Callithrix jacchus: one gene and its partner. The protein of the gene in region 2 interacts with the protein of the main gene of each other region in a biochemical or structural test. Links are inferred from orthologs where the notes say so. Each region holds a gene or a part of one and is shown on either strand. Other genes may lie near its edges.

Region 1 (6,256 bases), on a different chromosome or scaffold from region 2:
AAACGGTAAATTCTTGGTGAATGGTAATCGTCATTATTAGTACTGAGGCTGACTATAAAGTAGGTTATGGTGATACGGAATAACTTGTCTTAGAGTGGACTGAGCTATGCTGAGATTATGTTATATTGGGAAGAATCCTGCATTATGCTGAAACAGATTGGTAGTGACTGGGCTGTGTTGGCACATTGACAGCAAGTGGATTAAGTTGGCATATATCCTGGCTCCCATAACCATATTAGGCCAAAGGGTTAATCAGACAAGGTGTCTTAATTTGGGGGCAAGGGTGTGTGTGGAAAGAGAGGAACAACTAGGGCAGAGTCTGATGATTTATATGTTGATTCATTTAGCCAACGGTATTTGTTAATGCTGAAGTGACACTTTGTGCTGTGTGGCTAGGACATGGTGTTGACCAGAATGAGTGTTCATGATGTGATGTTGTGGTCAAGAAGAAGCATTAAGTCTAGTCCACTGGGTGAACCTATTGGAGAGATGACCGCAAGGCTGGGCCTTGGGATCTGTCAGGCTGAGCAGATTGCTTCGTGCAGAATTTTGTGACAGATGAGGCACTGGGGAATGGGAAGCTTAGCTTGCCCTCTCCTTGGGAACTTTCAATCTAATCAGGAGCTTCCATTGCTTGATCTAATGGGTTTTTTTGTGATGGAGTTTCGCTCCGTCTCGCAGGCTTGAGTGCAGTAGAGTGATCTCAGCTCACTGCAACCCCTGCCTCCCAGCTTCCAGCAATTCTTCTGCCTCAGCCTCTCAAGTATCTGTGATTACAGGTGTGCGTCAGCATACCCAGCTAATTTTTGTATTTATATATATATATTTTTTTGAGATGGAGTTTTGCTGTTGTTACCCAGACTGGAGTGCAATGGCACGATCTCGGCTCACCGCAACCTCCGCCCTCTGGGTTGAAGCAATTCTCCTGCCTCAGCCTCCCGAGTAGCTGGGACTGCAGGCACGTACCACCATGCCCAGTTAATTTTTGTATTTTTAGTAGAGATGGGATTTCAGCTTGTTGACCAGGATGGTCTCAATCTCTTGACCTCGTGATTCACCTGCCTCGGCCTCCCAAAGTGCTGGGATTATAGGCATGAGCCACCGAACCCGGCCTTCTTTTTTTTTTAAAGATGGGGTTTCACCATGTTGGCCAGGCTGGTCTCGAACTCCTGCCCTCAAGTGATCCTGCCTTGGCCTCCCAGAGTGCTGGGATTACAGGCAAGCCACTGTGCCCTGCATTTTTGTATTTTTAGTGGAGAAAGGGTTTCGGCATGTTGGCCAGGCTGGTCTTGAACTCCTGACCTCAGGTAATTTGCCCACCTTGGCCCCCCAAAGTGCTGGGATTATAGGCGTGAGCCATAACACCTGGCCTCTAATGGGTGTTTTTACCCGACAAAGGTCAGTCCTCTAGAAGTAAATTAGAAAAAACTAAAGGAGGGCCGGGCGCGGTGGCTCATGCCTGTAATCCCAGCACTTTGGGAGGCTGAGGCTGGGGGATCACCTGCGGTTCGGAGTTCGAGACCAGCCTGACCAATATGGTGAAACCTTGTCTCTTACAAAAAGAAAAAAAAGAAAGAAAAAAACTAAAGGAAAGTATAAGAGGAGAGACTTAGATGAGGACTGAAGACTTTTTTTTTTGAGATGGAGTCTCGCTCTTTTGCCTAGGTTGGAGTGTAGTGGCACAGTCTTGGCTCACTGTAGCCTCTGCCTCCTGGGTTCCCAGTAGCTGGGATTACAGGCACATGCCACCACACCTGGTTAATTTTTGTATTTTTAGTAGAGATGAGGTTTCACCGTGTTAGTCAGGATGGTCTTTATCTTCAGACCTTCACGATCCTCCTGCCTCGGTCTCCCAAAGTGTTGGGATTACAGGTGTGAGCCACCATGCCCAGCCAGGTTTTTTTTTTTTTTTCCCTGAGACAGTTTCACTCTTGTTGCCCAGGCTGGAGTGCAATGGTGTGATCTTGGCTCACTGCAGCTTCTGCCTCCCAGGTTCAAGTGATTCTCCTGCCTTAGGCTCCTGAGTAGCCGAGGCAGGTTTGTGCTACCATGCCCAATTAATTTTTATATTTTCAGTAAAGACAGGGTTTCGCTGTGTTGGCCAGGCTGATCTCAAACTTCTGACCTCGTGATCTGCCTGCATCAGCCTCCCAAAGTGCTGGGATTACAGGTGTGAGCCACTGCACCCAGCTTGGGTTTTTTTTTGAAATGGAGTCTCAGCTGCCCAGGCTGTAGTGCAGTGGTGTGATCTTAGCTCACTGCAGCCACCATCTACTGGGTTCAAGCGATTTTCCCATCTCAGCCTTCCAAGTAGCTGGGATTATAGGCCCCTGACATCGTACCCATCTAATTTTTGTATTTTAGTAGAGATGGGGTTTCCCCATGTTGGCCAGGGTGGTCTTGAACTCCTGACCTCAGATGATCCACCAGCCTCAGCCTCCCAAAGAACTGGGATTACAGGCGTGAGCCACCTTGCCTGGCCTTGTTGGAAGGTTTGTAAGGAACAGGATGGGCTTAAGAGGAGGCTACTAGGTAGGCTTCTGAGTTGGATAGATGTCTTAGGCAGCTGTATCAGCATGGGGGATTGCCTTTGAAAGTGGATTGAGAGGTTTGAATCAGCACTGTGGAGCAGCACTGTGCCCCTGAGGGAGAGGATAAATAAGGAAAGGAGATTGAGTTTGGAGATTTCTTAGGTATCATAGTGAGTTATTTCCATGTAAGAGAAGACGAACAGGGAAGGAGAAAGTCAGTATCCTGCAGCCAGGTGAAGATTGGAAGAAACTTTGAGTGGGGGTGGGGGTGGGGATGGCTGGTCCAGGTTACCAACCTCTACACTCTCTTGGCAGGGTGGTGAAGGAAGAAATTTCAGATGACAACGCCCGCCTCCCCTGCTTCAACGGAAGGGTTGTATCCTGGGTAAGAGTTTGTGACACCTAGGGCCAGGTCCCCTCAGCATTGCCAGGCTCTTCCAAGCCTCAGTCTGTTTCTGTAGCCCTCCCCCAGGCCAGGTGTTAGTGGCCCTGCCTCTTTTTTTTTTTTTTTTTGAGATGGAGTCTTGCTAGATTGCCCAGGCTGGAGTACAGTAGTGCAGTCTCAGCTCACTGCAACCTCCGCCTCCTGAGTTCAAGCAGTTCTCTGCCTCAGCCTCCTGATAGCTGGGATTACAACCATCTACCACCACCAGGCCCAGCTAATTTTTTGTATTTTTAGTAGAGACGGGGTTTCACTATTTTGGTCAGGCTGGTCTTCAACTCCTGACCTTGTGACCCACCCACCTCAGTCTCCCAAAGTGCTGGGATTATAGGCGAGAGCCATGGCACCCGGCTGGCCCTGGTTCTTTACCTCCTGTCTGTTTGAAGAGCCAGCGAGAGGCCCTCAGCTTTCTCCTTTTGGAGTCTTTAATAATTGCTATGTTTTTTTTGCTCTTCTTCAGCTCTCTGAAACCCTTTCTAATTATTTGACTTACTGCCGTCTGTTCCACCCCCACTCCCAGGTGAGCCACTGTTTATCGTTTGCACCCTTCTAGCTGGTGTCTTCAGATAATCCCCAGCCCGAGATGGCTCCTCCAGCCCATGAGCCTCGGACAGAACTGGCGCCTCCAGCCCCACCTCTACCACCTTTGCCACCTGAGAGGACCAGTGGCATTGGGGACTCGAGGCCTCCATCCTTCCAGTGAGTCCTTAGGATCCTTGACTGCAGGGGAGGGAGATGAGGAGGGAATCCAGGCCTTTTTGTAGGGGGTGCCTGGGATCCGGAGACCTGATCTCCTGATGTGGGTTGGAAACCATCTCTGCCTGTCCAGCCCTAATGTGTCCAGCAGCCACGAGAATCTGGAGCCTGAGACAGAAACCGAGTCAGTAGTGTCACTGAGGCGGGAGCGGCCTCGAAGGAGAGACAGCAGTGAGCATGGCGGTGAGGGGCAGGCCTGGGGACAGGGAAGGGCTGGGCCAGACCCCAGGCTTAGTGAGGTGAGCAGGGGGAAGCTTGGATCCTCAGCTTCCTATCCATATGCAGCGGGGGGCCACAGGACCAGTGGCCCCTCAAGGCTGGAGCGACACCTGGCTGGATATGAGAGCTCCTCTACCCTCATGACCAGCGAGCTGGAGAGTACTAGCCTGGGGGACTCGGATGAGGAGGATACCATGAGCAGGTGTGGCTCTGCAGCTCTCCCCAGTGCACCCAGCCCTGGCTTTCCTCCTCTGATCAGTCCTCTTGTTCTTTCTCTTGGCCCCATGACCACTTTGGCTTATGTTTGCTCTCCTCCCGCCTGACAGGTTCAGCAGCTCCACGGAGCAGAGCAGTGCCTCCCGCCTCCTGAAGCGCCACCGGCGGCGGAGGAAACAGCGGCCACCTCGCCTGGAGAGGGTGAGGGGGTTCCCACGGGAATACCGGTGCGGGGAGAAGGTGGGGCATGGGCCTTGGTTTGGATGGTGCCAGGACACCAGCAGAGCCCTAGGGTGTAGACTGGGTTATTGAAGAGCACTCTAGCTCCTCCTTTTCCCACCACAGACCTCATCCTTCAGCAGTGTCACGGATTCCACAATGTCTCTGAATATCATCACAGTCACGCTGAACATGGGTATGGGGAAAGCCTGTGGCGAGGGCGTGGGGAGGGCCTGGTCTCTCTGGGGCTTGCGACTGGGGCCTCCTCCCCTCACACGGTCTCTCTCCACAGAGAAGTACAACTTCCTGGGCATCTCCATTGTGGGCCAAAGCAATGAGCGGGGAGATGGAGGCATCTACATTGGTTCCATCATGAAGGGTGGGGCCGTGGCAGCCGATGGGCGCATTGAGCCAGGGGACATGCTTTTGCAGGTGTGTTGGGGCAGGGCCATTGAGCTGCCCTGTGTGGGGGCCCTCATACTCTCCCAGCCGGCTTCTGACCCCCTTCCCCTCGCTTCCAGGTGAATGACATGAACTTTGAGAACATGAGCAATGATGACGCCGTGCGGGTGCTGAGGGACATTGTGCACAAGCCTGGGTGAGTTGCTGAGCAGGCTGCAGGTCGTCAGTCTTTTTTTTTTCCCCCTTTAACTTTTTGTTTTGCAATTTTAATAAGTGGTAAGACAATCAGGCCCAATAGCTCACCCCTGTAATCTCAGTACTTTGGGAGGCTGAGGTGGGTGGATCACCTGAGGTCGGGAGTTTAAGACCAGCCTGGCCAACATGGTGAAACCCCAACTCCACTAAAAACAGAAAAATGGCCAGGTGCAGTGGCTCGCACCTGTAATCCCAGTACTTTGGAAGGACAAAGCGGGCGGATCACCTGAGGTCAGGAGTTCGAGACCAACCTGACCAACATAGAGAAACCCTCTCTCTTCTAAAAAATATAAAATTAGTTGGGTGTGGTTGCATATGCCTGTAATCCCAGCTACTCGGGAGGCTGAAGCAGGAGAATCGCTTGAACCTGGGAGGTGGAGGTTGCGGTGAGCCAAGATTGTATCATTGTACTCCAGCCTGGGCAACAGAAGTGAAAACTCCATTTAAAAAAAAAAATATTAGCTGGGTATAGTGGTGCTCCCCTGTAGTCCCAGCTAGTGGGGAGTGAGAAAGGAGAATTGCTTGAACTCTGGGGCAGGGGCAGAGGTTGCCGTGAACTGCCATGCCACTGTACTTTAGCATGGGCAACAGAGCAAGACTCTGAAGAAAAAAAAGGGGGAGTAAGACATAACACTCAAAGTACATGAAACAAATTCGTGATGTAGCAAATAATACTAGAGCGAATACTCATGTCGCCACCACCTAGACCATCAAATAGAGATTGCTGACACCCTAGATCCCCCTCCACAGACCCCCCTTCCTGCTCCCCAATGCCTCACCCCCCAGGGCTAGTCACTCTGCTGACTTCCCGGGTCATCACCACAACAAAGAAAAGCTTTACCTCCCTCCATAGTTACCACCCTTGCATGTATCCTTGAACAGCGCGGTTTTACCTGTCTTTGGACTTTCTTTGAATGGAATTGTACAGCGTGTACTCTCGTCTCACTTGGCAGTATGTTTTTAAGAGTTTCCATGTTGATGAGTCATTCACATTGTGGTGCCTTCCACCCTCACCTTCCCTAGCCCAGCTGAGACATGCTGGCTTCTCCCCATCTTTGTGTCTCTTAATTCATCCTTGCTTCAGCGCCCCCCCACCCCAGGCCTCTTCTTCCCCTGAGCCCTTGACTGGTCTTCTCTTCCCCATAGCCCCATCGTGCTGACTGTGGCCAAGTGCTGGGATCCCTCTCCTCAGGCCTACTTCACCCTCCCCCGAAGT
Region 2 (6,256 bases):
TTCCCCCCCCGCCTTGTCTACCTGGAGTTGGGAGTTTATGCCTTTCAATCCCTCTTAAGGTCCAGAATCACCAGCTAGGGTTGGGTCTGTCCCTGGAGCCCAGACTCCCACCTTGGGGACCCCAGAGCCCTCATCAGTATATCAGTAAAGGGCAAGAGATTGTTCAGAGCAGAGGAAAAGTATATTTGTGCCCCAGCCCCACTCCACGGATACTCCCCTATCTCAAAGCACAGACTTAGGTGTAAGAACAGGATGGGCAGGCCAGGCATGCTGGCTTATTACCTATAATCTCAGTACTTTGGGAGGCTGAGGCAGGATGATCACTTGAGGCTAGGAGTTCAAGACCAGCCAGGACAACATCGAGAGACCCTGTCTTTATATAAAAAAGAAAGGCCGGGTGTGGTGGCTCCCGCCTGTAATCCTAACACTTTGGGAGGCTGAGGCAGGTGGATTAATTGAGGTCATTACTTGAGGTCAGGAATTCGAGACCAGCCTGGCCAACATGGTGAAACCCTGTCTCTTTAAAAAAAAAAAAAAAAAAAAAAAAAAAAAAAAGATACATATCTAAGAACAAGCTGTGCAGTGTAAGTGTCCACAGCCCCAGGTATTATTTTTTTGCTCATGAGCAAGAAAGAGGTTGCTGGGATATGAGAGTTTTTGAATAAGACTTAGCCTATAAGTGGGAGAAGAGGGAGAACTTGGAGGCTACAGGGCTGCAGGGTGCAGAGCACTGATCAGAGAGGTGTGAGCCACCCCATAAGGACCATGCCCTGTGGGACAGAGGTACCTGGGTCAGCTACATGCAGTGCAGAGGGTCCTAGGACCAGGGATCTGCCATGAGGGACTTGGGTGGGGGACCTGGCTTGGTGGGGACTGCCCGGCTTCTGTGCTGCACACAGCTGGAAGCAATTATGCCTCTGGTTTGAGCTGTGCTGCTCCCTCCGGGTGGCCACACCACCTCCCGCCCCTCCAGTAAACCAACCAAGCAAAGAAGTCCTTCCTCTCGACTTGGAAATGTGTCACCCTTCTCCATCCCCCAACAAGGAAGGACCCTCTGTGTCCCTTTCCCAGTGACAAGTGTGAGTGAGCGCGGCTTTGGCTGGTTCAACTTCTTTAACAGGCTGGCAACAGGGAGAGAAACTCAGACCCAGCACCCAGGAGGTGGGAGCCGCAGGGAAAGGACAGCGGCTCGCAGTCTTCAAATCTAATGGTTCTCTCTTTCTTCTCATGTGGCAGAGAAGAGACAGGACAATGGACGGGTGTATTACGTGAACCATAACACTCGCACGACCCAGTGGGAGGACCCCAGGACCCAGGGGTGAGGACATGGGCTGGGAGAGGGGCTGGGCCGGGCTGGGTCTCTGTGCAGCTCCAGCATTGGGTAGGTGGCTTTGGACTGCATTGTCCCAGAGGGCTGATGTCGGGGGCCTTTAACCACACACAAGTGTCTTGAGACTCTCATGGTACAGATACGCTGTTGGCCTCATGAGAGCTTAGAAGTGGTTTCTTAAATAGACCTTCCTGGTGGATGGAGGGGGCCGGCTGGCAGGTGTTGCTGGTCTCTGTACTGATTGTACAAGCTGCTGATAATTGGATTGGAAAATGGTTGAGGGTACCCTGGTCTCCCAACACCCCAAGTGAAGCAGGGCTGGGACACGAGGTATTTCAGGATTGCTGGTGACCATTCAGTCCGATGCTGTCCCTGCAGGGCTGGGTTTTGGCCATGGGATAATAAATGACCTCTCTGTGCTGCAGAACTGTCCTCACAACTTGGGTCATGCATGTCCTCAAGGCCCCTCATGGGCTCTGCAGAGACAAAGCCACACTTTGAGGACCCAGCCTCCAACCACCAAGGCCCAGAAGGTGGGGCCAGCCCTCTACCCCTTTCTTCCCATGTTTCCAGGATGATCCAGGAACCAGCTCTGCCCCCAGGATGGGAGATGAAATACACCAGCGAGGGCGTGCGATACTTTGTGGACCACAATACCCGCACCACCACCTTTAAGGATCCTCGCCCAGGGTTTGAGTCGGGGTAAGGACTTTGCAGGTAGCAGCAGTGTCCAGAAACAGAGCCCTGGGCTATCTTTGCTCTGGCTCCGGCTCCGGCTCCTCCGGGAGGCCCACTTTGGGTGTCCCCTGTGGTGCATTCTGTTGCCCTTACTGCCCTCTAGTGGCCAATGTTGATGTCCTGTTAAAGGGGATGGGAGGATAGCTTGAGCCTGGGAGTTGGGAGACCAGCCTGGACAACATTCCTGCCTTTACAAGAATAAAAAGGATTAACCAGGCTGAGCAAGATGGCCAGACCCCATCTCTACAAAAAAAAATTAAAAATTAGCTGGATATGGTGGTGCACGCCTGTAGTCCCAGATACCTGGGAGGCTGAGGCAGGAGGGTTTCCAGCTAAGGAATTTGAGGCGACAATGAGCTATGATGGTACCACTGCACTCCAGCTCAGGTGACAGAGTGAGACCCTATTTCTTTCTTTTTTTTTTTGAGACGGAGTTTTGCTCTTTTTACCCAGGCTGGAGTGCAATGGCGCGATCTCGGCTCACTGCAACCTCCACCTCCTGGGTTCAGGCAATTCTCCTGCCTCAGCCTCCCAAGTAGCTGGGATTACAGGCACACACCACCATGCCCAGCTAATTTTTTGTATCTTTAGTAGAGACAGGGTTTCACCATTTTGACCAGGATGGTGGTCTTGATCTCTTGACCTCGTGATCCACCTGCCTCGGCCTCCCAAAGTGCTGGGATTACGGGCTTGAGCCACTGCGCCCAGCCGACCCTATTTCTAAAAAATAATAAATTGGCTGGGCGCAATGGCTCACACCTGTAATCCCAACACTTTGGGAGTCCAAGGTAGGCAGATTACGAGGTCAAGAGATTGAGACAGTCTTGGCCAACATGGTGAAACTTGTCTCTACTAAAAATACACAAATTAGCTGTGTGTGCTGGCACATGCCTGCAGTCCCAGCTACACAGGAGGCTGAAGCAGGAGAATCGCTTGAACCTGGGAGGTGGAGGTTGCAGTGAGCCGAGATCGTGCCATTACAGTCCCTCCTGGCGACAGAGTGAGACTCGGTCTCCAAAAAAATTAAAAAATCATGATAAAATTAAAATTGGCTCAGTATGGGAGCACTCCTGTAGTCCTAGCTACTTGGAAGGCTGAGGCAGAGGATTGCTTAAGATCAGGAATTTGAGCCTGCAGTGAGCCGTGATCACACCGCTGCACTGCAGCCTGGGTGACCAAGTGAGACCCTGTCTCTAGAAAATAAATAAACAAACAAATAAGATGGGATGGGGAGGAAGGGACTATCCTGTTTATACAGAGTAACAACAGTGTTGTTTCTCTAAAAGCAAGAGGTCTGGCTTTATTTCTAGATATTCTTTTTTATTCTTTAAGGATCTTAATGACAGTCACTTCCTCACCTTACATTACTCATCTTTAAATTAACATAGCACCAGCTTTCCTTAGGGCTGACCAAGACAAGTTGTTCATTTTCTGAGAAATTGCATGAACCCCTGAACGCCTTTGCTCTTCCCAGGACGAAGCAAGGTTCCCCTGGTGCTTATGACCGAAGTTTTCGGTGGAAGTATCACCAGTTCCGTTTCCTCTGCCATGTGAGTTCTGGGACTGGGGCTCCTGTGGCAGTTGGGGTTATTGAGTTATTTCAGTCTGAGTTCCTGGCACAGCTGCAGGTATCGTAACGTTTGTGTCTTAGGTGGGGGTAAGACAGCTGTCTAACTCCAAATTGGCTGTCTCTGGGAAGCCAGTTTTCATTCCTAAGGGACACGCTCTCCCCTCCTGCTTCAGAAGGCTGGGGGATGCCTGTTCATACAGACAAGAGAACAGATATGATCACTTGAGGCTCCATTTGAAGTGATTTTCTTTTCTTTTCAGTCAAATGCCCTACCCAGCCATGTGAAGATCAGCGTTTCCAGGCAGACGCTTTTCGAGGATTCCTTCCAACAGGTTAGAGAATGATCATGGTGCCAACACCCTCAGGGGCAGGCCGGTGCCCTCCTCCCAGCACCCTGTCTCCTATTGCCTGGCCCATTAAACCCACACTGTAGACTTTCCAGGGCACGGGTCTTGATGACTGTGTCTGCTGGAGAGTAGGCTTTAGAGTTCCCTGTCCCTCCTGCCCCTGCCTGCCGTGGAAGGGAGAGTGGCAGGCCGGCCCCATGCTCTGTTTTCCCAGATCATGAACATGAAACCCTATGACCTGCGCCGCCGGCTCTACATCATCATGCGTGGGGAGGAGGGCCTGGACTATGGAGGCATCGCCAGGTGAGCTGGAGCGCCCCAGAAGGCTGCCCCATACCCCGTTTCCCTAGGCTACGGTGTTCATGGCTGGAAAGCTGCCTGCCTCATGCTGACATTCCCTCCCAAAGCTCTCCTGCGTCTTCAGGAGTGGGCACATTGTGGCACTCAAACTCCGTGAATCCATGTGGCCAGTCCCGATGGGCCTGGAGCAGGGGTCTGGGGTACCCTGCTGGACTGGGCGTTAAGCCTTTAGTTACTGGATCATGAGGAGACAGAGGACTCCTGGGAGGGGTGAGAGCTCAGTACAGTGGCCCTGTTATCTACCAGTGTGCCATGTTCCAGCAGCTTCTGGGCAGTGGCTGAATACCGGGGCCATGTGGTCATCCATTAGAGTTGACCTTGCTCCCCTCCTCTTGAGGCAGCCAGGGCAGGTGAAGTCAGGTGTCCCTGTGTCATGATCCACAGAGCCTTGAGCAGGGCTCTGCTGCATGGCATGTGCCTGGGGTCAGTAAAGAATGGCTTATGTCACCCTAAAAAGAGTCCACAGCAGCTGGGTGCAGTGGCTCACGCCTGTAGTCCCAGCACTTTGGGAGATCAAGGTGAGCGGATCACGAGGTCAGTAGTTTGAGACCAGCCTGGCCAACATGGTAAAACCCCATCTCTACTACAAATACAAAAATCAGCTGGGCATGGTGGCGGATGCCTGTAATCCCAGCTACTTGGAAGGCTGAGGCAGGAGAATCCCTTGAACCTGGGAGGTAGAGGTTGCAGTGAGCCAAGATGGCGCCATTGCACTCCAGCCTGGGCAACAGAGCGAGACTGCCCTGGGAAAAAAGAAAAAAAAAGAGACCAAAGCATTGTCTTGCCTTCACCCTGGTCCACCCACAAAAGTTAACAGCCTTCTGGGAAGTGCTGCCTTGGACAACAGGGCAGAAGGGCCCTGGCAGAGAGGGAGCGCCTTGGCCTGCAGTGACCTTTCCGCTTGTGACCTCTCCTTGTGTGGCCATGTCTTCTCGCTTGGTGTTGGGTTAACTTGCTCCTGGTCCTCTGCTCAGTGGTGGCGTTGCCTTCTGTGCTGGCCCCGTGGATGGATTGTTCCTTTTTTCCGTGGTGACCTCCTCTCCAGGCTCTGCTTGGTGGGCTTCTGGTGTGGCCGCGCCCTGTGTGTGTCTCTCTCTGTGTCCTGCCAGTGGTTTTACCCTATGGTAGGTTACGTCATGCTGTTCTACCACAGGGTAGAACCACGGACAGGATACCGGGACACCCTCTGCATCGAAGGACTCCTCGTCTGCCCAGCCACAAACAGCCCAGCCGCCGGGGACTGGCCCCCTTGGGACGTCCCCTGGCTGGTTTAGCTCAAGCCCAAAAGGACTCTGAATTCATGCTTGAGGCTCGAAACCAGGGACTGGGTGTTGGTTCAGATGAATGCGTGGAAGTGTGGGCACGGGTATGGTGTGGGGGGTCTGGAGGTGAAGGGAGGGCAAAGTGTAAGAGAAGTGAGATGCCTGTGGCATAGTTGGTGGGGGTGAGGTTTCTAATCGGAAGACAGTACGGATGACATTTTCATGGATCAGGATTGGGAATGTGGTGCTGTGTATTTATGTTATGTTGCCCGTCCAGGTAGAGTGGAAGCAGGGTCGTTGCTATTCAAACAGAACCTTTGCAGAAAGATCATTGTAATAAACATGCATCGTGTCCTTGTGCAGTACACAGCCTATGCAGCTGAGCATGGTGACCCAGGGTACAAGGACCCCCTTTAGCATTAGACGCTCTGGATGTTGTGATGTAAAGTCTAGGAACAGGAACACATCACTTGGGAGCCAACAGGCACACGTTTTCCTGAACCTCATCCTCAAATGCACTTGCCACCCCACCCTGGTTCACTCTAGGTCTCAGCCTGCCCTGTTCACTGATCAGCTTTTCATATAGGTTAGCCCGGGCACTTGTCACGGGACTGGACTCCTTGGAACACGTGTCCGCAGACTACCTGAG

What was found. The genes of interacting proteins can lie anywhere in the genome.
Region 1: the proteins of WWP2 (region 2) and DVL2 form a complex in vitro, tested with the Homo sapiens proteins (2 studies listed by BioGRID, with this or other methods). The link is inferred for Callithrix jacchus from reciprocal best matches to the Homo sapiens genes WWP2 and DVL2.

Annotation. Positions count from the first base shown.
Region 1 is NC_133506.1:73,719,403-73,725,658, reverse strand, and holds part of DVL2 (segment polarity protein dishevelled homolog DVL-2), read left to right. Parts: intron 1-2,846; coding exon 2,847-2,916; intron 2,917-3,493; exon of another isoform or gene 3,494-3,526; coding exon 3,527-3,672; intron 3,673-3,802; coding exon 3,803-3,912; intron 3,913-4,014; coding exon 4,015-4,150; intron 4,151-4,274; coding exon 4,275-4,365; intron 4,366-4,509; coding exon 4,510-4,579; intron 4,580-4,675; coding exon 4,676-4,815; intron 4,816-4,904; coding exon 4,905-4,981; intron 4,982-6,186; coding exon 6,187-6,254; intron 6,255-6,256.
Region 2 is NC_133521.1:27,510,721-27,516,976, forward strand, and holds part of WWP2 (NEDD4-like E3 ubiquitin-protein ligase WWP2), read left to right. Parts: intron 1-1,236; coding exon 1,237-1,318; intron 1,319-1,903; coding exon 1,904-2,032; intron 2,033-3,542; coding exon 3,543-3,618; intron 3,619-3,898; coding exon 3,899-3,970; intron 3,971-4,199; coding exon 4,200-4,288; intron 4,289-6,256. UniProt on the Homo sapiens protein: E3 ubiquitin-protein ligase which accepts ubiquitin from an E2 ubiquitin-conjugating enzyme in the form of a thioester and then directly transfers the ubiquitin to targeted substrates.